Linked DNA regions of Saccharomyces cerevisiae S288C. The protein of the gene in region 2 purifies or fractionates together with the protein of the main gene of each other region. This does not show direct contact. Each region holds a gene or a part of one and is shown on either strand. Other genes may lie near its edges. The genes, in order: ACP1 and ISD11.

Evidence for each region.
Region 1: the proteins of ISD11 (region 2) and ACP1 purify together in Saccharomyces cerevisiae (affinity purification with mass spectrometry; 4 studies listed by BioGRID, with this or other methods). This does not show direct contact.

What each region holds. Positions count from the first base shown.
Region 1 is NC_001143.9:79,660-82,110, forward strand, and holds ACP1 (acyl carrier protein), read right to left. Parts: upstream 879-2,451; coding exon 501-878; downstream 1-500. Other genes in the region: type 1 protein phosphatase-activating protein SDS22, read right to left, coding at 1-223; DPH2 (2-(3-amino-3-carboxypropyl)histidine synthase), read left to right, coding at 1,376-2,451. UniProt on the Saccharomyces cerevisiae protein: Carrier of the growing fatty acid chain in fatty acid biosynthesis. May be involved in the synthesis of very-long-chain fatty acids.
Region 2 is NC_001137.3:248,936-251,816, forward strand, and holds ISD11 (Isd11p), read left to right. Parts: upstream 1-1,782; coding exon 1,783-2,067; downstream 2,068-2,881. Other genes in the region: TPA1 (oxidative DNA demethylase), read left to right, coding at 2,793-2,881.

The DNA.
Region 1 (2,451 bases), on a different chromosome or scaffold from region 2:
GTCTGAGACATAATTGTTTCAAATTCTTGAACCTATAAAGGTTCAAATCTTCTAACGATTTGATTTTTAGATGGACCAAGTCAATAACCTCTACATCATCAGGCAGATCTTGTGTCAGTTCCGAATCTGCAGTGATGAAGTCAGGATTTGTATCGTCTACAACCTCAATCTTGTGTCTTTCGTCTTTTTCTTCACTATCTTTGTTAACTGAATTCTTATCCATAATGATGGCTATGTGGTGCTAGATTTCTTCCGACTTCTTGCTATTTTCATTCAAAAGGTTATACATGTTTTATTTTTCAACAGTACCTTAATATATAATAATTCGGGGCCAAAATAACAAACAACGAGAAAAAGGGAGGAGAGAGTAAAGTATAGTATTAACAGGGCTGGTTATATAGATATATATATATACGGGTCAATCGATCTATTTATATACATACGAATATAATATGACATGGGGGTGACACGATACAATATAATAGAGCGGGGACGGACACTTAGTTTGCGTCGGGATTGGAAGCGATATAATCGACCGTTTCACCAACACTTCTCAACTCATCAGCCACTTTGTCAGGGATTTCAATATCAAATTCTTCTTCAATAGCTACGAGCAGCTCGACAGTGTCCAAGGAGTCCAACCCCAAATCCTTGTGAAATTGGGTATCGCTGGAGATTTGCTTGTTGGCAATGTTGGGAGAGTTCTTATCAAACGCCTTGATAACATCAATGACCCTTTGAGAAACCTGATCTTTGCTCAAGTTTGCAGAATAAAATCTTTGTGCGAGTATGGTGTTGGACATAACGGAACGGCCCATTATAGTGCGGTACGCAGAAGGTGCCACGCGGGAAGAAATGCGGCAAACGGATCTAAACATGGCAAGGAAGGTGCTGTATTGAGTTAGTTGTGTTGTTTGTACTAATTACACTGCAAGTGTGACTATTCTTCCTTTTGCTTCGTCATCACCACCTTTCTCTTTTACTCAGAACCCGTTCGAAGGGGCGAAGAAAGAAGCAATTGACAAATAATCTGTATTCCGTCAACAGTGATATATGTCACGTGACTCTGATAAAACTCCATGGAGTCTCTTCGGAGTGTATGTGTGAAAAGAATAATACATATAAGACATCTACAGGATCAGTCTGATAGTTTTAATGCTATGGTAGACTTCAGAATGTCTTTTTAAGTATGCCATTTGGTTAAATCTGTCCTTTTATATGTACTTGGTGCTTCTTTTTTCTTTACTTTTTTTTTTTTCAGTGAGAAGCTCATCGCAACAAGAAGAAAAAAGACTAGTTCAAAGGTAAAAGAGTTAAGATGATTAGTGATGGATTTCTAAGTGGCAGCGTTGAAAGATCGTGCAAAGGTTGAAAAATGGAAGTTGCACCGGCCTTATCGACTACTCAGTCGGACGTGGCGTTTCAGAAGGTGGAGACACATGAAATTGACAGGTCTTCATACTTGGGGCCATGTTATAATAGCGATGAGCTTATGCAACTTATCTCGGCTTATTACAATGTCGAGCCTCTCGTGGGTTATCTGGAACAGCACCCGGAGTACCAAAACGTGACCTTGCAGTTTCCTGACGATTTAATCAAGGACTCCTCGTTGATAGTAAGGCTGCTGCAATCGAAATTTCCCCATGGGAAGATAAAGTTTTGGGTTTTAGCTGACACAGCGTACAGTGCATGCTGTGTAGACGAGGTCGCTGCTGAACACGTACATGCAGAAGTCGTGGTACATTTTGGTGACGCATGTTTGAACGCCATCCAAAACTTGCCCGTGGTTTACTCATTCGGAACTCCATTTTTGGATTTGGCACTGGTGGTGGAGAACTTTCAGAGGGCATTCCCAGACTTATCCTCCAAAATTTGTTTGATGGCAAACGCACCCTTCTCTAAGCATTTGTCACAGCTGTACAATATTTTGAAGGGCGACCTGCACTACACAAATATCATATATTCCCAAGTGAACACCTCTGCGGTAGAAGAAAAATTCGTAACCATACTTGACACCTTTCACGTTCCCGAAGACGTAGACCAGGTGGGTGTGTTCGAAAAAAATAGCGTGCTGTTTGGTCAGCACGACAAAGCAGACAACATCTCGCCCGAGGACTATCATCTTTTCCATTTGACCACCCCACAGGATCCGAGATTACTGTATTTGTCTACTGTGTTTCAATCTGTTCATATTTTCGATCCGGCTTTACCTGGCATGGTAACGGGGCCATTTCCCTCTCTAATGAGGCGTTACAAGTACATGCATGTGGCAAGAACAGCGGGATGTATAGGTATTCTGGTCAACACGCTGTCGCTACGTAATACAAGAGAAACTATCAACGAGCTGGTCAAGCTTATCAAAACTCGTGAGAAAAAACACTATTTATTTGTTGTCGGAAAGCCAAATGTGGCCAAGCTAGCAAACTTTGAAGATATTGATATTTGGTGCAT
Region 2 (2,881 bases):
ATTCAAATTTGGTGAAGGAATAACGCAGAGTTGACAATTTAATAGAATGGATTAATCGTAATTTTCAGAAACGTAGAAAAAGAAAAACAATTAAAACATTATATTAAGATTATTGATTTGCCTTTTAAGGGTCCATACTCCTGGGAGAGAACATTCAGGATAATATATATACCTGAGAAACTGGCGAGTAATTTGATAATTGTTCGGATTGCATTGTTGCCGAATCCTATAACATTAGGTATACATAGTATACAAGCAATTCTCCCGACGTTATAGGAATTCACAAAAGAGAATCGATGGTGTTACTTTATCTTCCTTCCCGTTATACTTTGTCTTTCATTATCCTATTAGATTACATTTCAGTTTCCATCAATTTTTGATGGCTGTCTCTCAATTTATATTATCTTCTTATACCGTATATGATGGTATACTAGTTTACAATATTAGACGATGGATGATGATTGGTTCTTATCATAATTTGATTTCGGCAGAAGCAATATTAGAGGTATTGTTGTAACGAAATTCCAATGTCATCTGCTTAGTATTATTAATGTTACCTGAATATTATCACATGCTGCTTAAAAATGTGTTATAAGTATTAAAATCTAGTGAAAGTTGAAATGTAATCTAATAGGATAATGAAACATATGAAACGGAATGAGGAATAATCGTTGTATCACTATGTAGAGATATCGATTTCATTTTGAGGATTCCTATATTCTTGGGGAGAACTTCTACTATATTCTGTATACATGATATAATAGCCTCTCCCAACAATGGAATGCCAACAATTATCGAATTATTCACCAGTTTCTCAGGTATACCTTGTATACCTAATATCTTGTATACCTGATATCATAATGTTCAATAACAGTAAAGTGCTAATAATTATGTATTTTTTTGCCGATTTTTCAATATTTCACCTGTTTATCGGTGTCAAAGTACTACGTTTAGTTTACTGTAGGGTTAGTTGATTTTTTTACGGCTAAATTTATGTTGTATTACGGGCTCGAGTAATACCGGAGTGTCTTGACAATCCTAATATAAACAGTCTTAGGGAAGTAACCAGTTGTCAAAACAGTTTATCAGATTAATTCACGGAATGTTACTTATCTTATATATTATATAAAATATGAATCATATTAAGTGGTGGAAGCGCGGAATCTCGGATCTAAACTAATTGTTCAGGCATTTATACGTTTGGGTAGTTCAGCTAGGGAAGGCCGGGTTTTATCTCATGTTGTTCGTTTTGTTATAAGGTTGTTTCATCTGTGTTTTATGAACGTTTAGGATGACGTATTGTCATACTGACGTATCTCATTTTGAGATACAACAATTTACAGTTGTACTGGTCCTATAGTGTAGTGGTTATCACTTTCGGTTTTGATCCGGACAACCCCGGTTCGAATCCGGGTAGGACCTTTTTTATTCATTTTTACATAATATATGCTGAATATATTGGTTAAAGAGGTTTTTTTAGTTCCCAAATGTCCACAGTAAAGTAGATAAAGCAATAGCTATTTCCATCAAATCCAAACAATATTGTATTACCCACTTATTATTAAACAATGCATTTATTGGAGAAACACCCGCTTTCCGGGTAATAGCAGTCTATTTATTCTCATTCATTTATAAGCGGCGGAGAAAAATGATTGAGGAATTGATATAATTACACAGTAACTTTACGGAGCCTAAGGTAACAAGTGAAGTTTGGATAGCAGTTTTATTCCCATTTTTATCTGCAGTATAGGGAACTTGGAATCACCTTTTGAAAGAAGAGAAATGCCTGGATTTACAGCTCCAACAAGAAGGCAGGTGTTGTCTTTATACAAGGAATTCATCAAGAATGCTAATCAATTCAATAATTACAACTTCAGGGAATACTTTTTAAGTAAAACAAGGACTACTTTCAGAAAGAACATGAATCAGCAAGACCCAAAAGTGTTAATGAACCTATTTAAGGAAGCTAAGAACGACTTAGGTGTCTTGAAAAGACAGTCTGTTATTTCTCAGATGTACACATTTGACAGGCTGGTCGTAGAACCATTGCAAGGAAGAAAACACTAAAACCTGGCCTAACTGGTCATTGCATGTAAGAAAGAACTTTCCAGTAATTTTTTCCTTCTCACGTCAGGAAATTCGTATGGTTATATCTTATAGAGAGGTGGCCGCCTTTAATTTGGAAAAGATATTATTAGATGATATTCCTAATTTTCGACCGATACTTTGCATGGTTGGACTTCAATTAGATCATGTAATTTACTTCCTTAATATCAATAGCATTTCTTTTTTGGTAGAAGATTTTTCTTTTCTTTTCTTTTCTTCAACCCACATGGGACTATAAGAGGAGAGTTTATAGCTTGTATATAAAACGCTATAACTAAAACATAAGCCCACTCTGAGGTGAGATGTCTTTACGGTATGATAACAAGCTGATGCAATGAGAGATCCTATGAATTGCTTGGATTCTTTTACATCAGGCATAAAGTTTCCGAAGTATGCAATAAAATGAGTATTTGCTTATTTATTGTTTGTATCGGGCGATCTTACACCTACTTTATGTGCGTAATAGTTGCATCTTCTTTTTTCGGACCATTCCATCGGATAAACTTCTTAGGTAAAAGTGAAAAAAAAAAAAAATTCGCTTATATATTAATCAAGTCATCACTTGGAAGCCGTTCTCTTCCGTTTACAACACGAAGAGCCAACTGTTTTCTTGTGTCATTCTTTAGCACTCTTTCTTTTTATTTTTACATTTTTTAATTAAGATCACCAAATATACCGGGAATATAATGAAGAGAAAAACTGCTGAAGTTAAAGGTGAGAAGGAGAGAAATTCCAAACAAATTTCCCTCGAAGAGGACAAGATAAAGGGTATGTT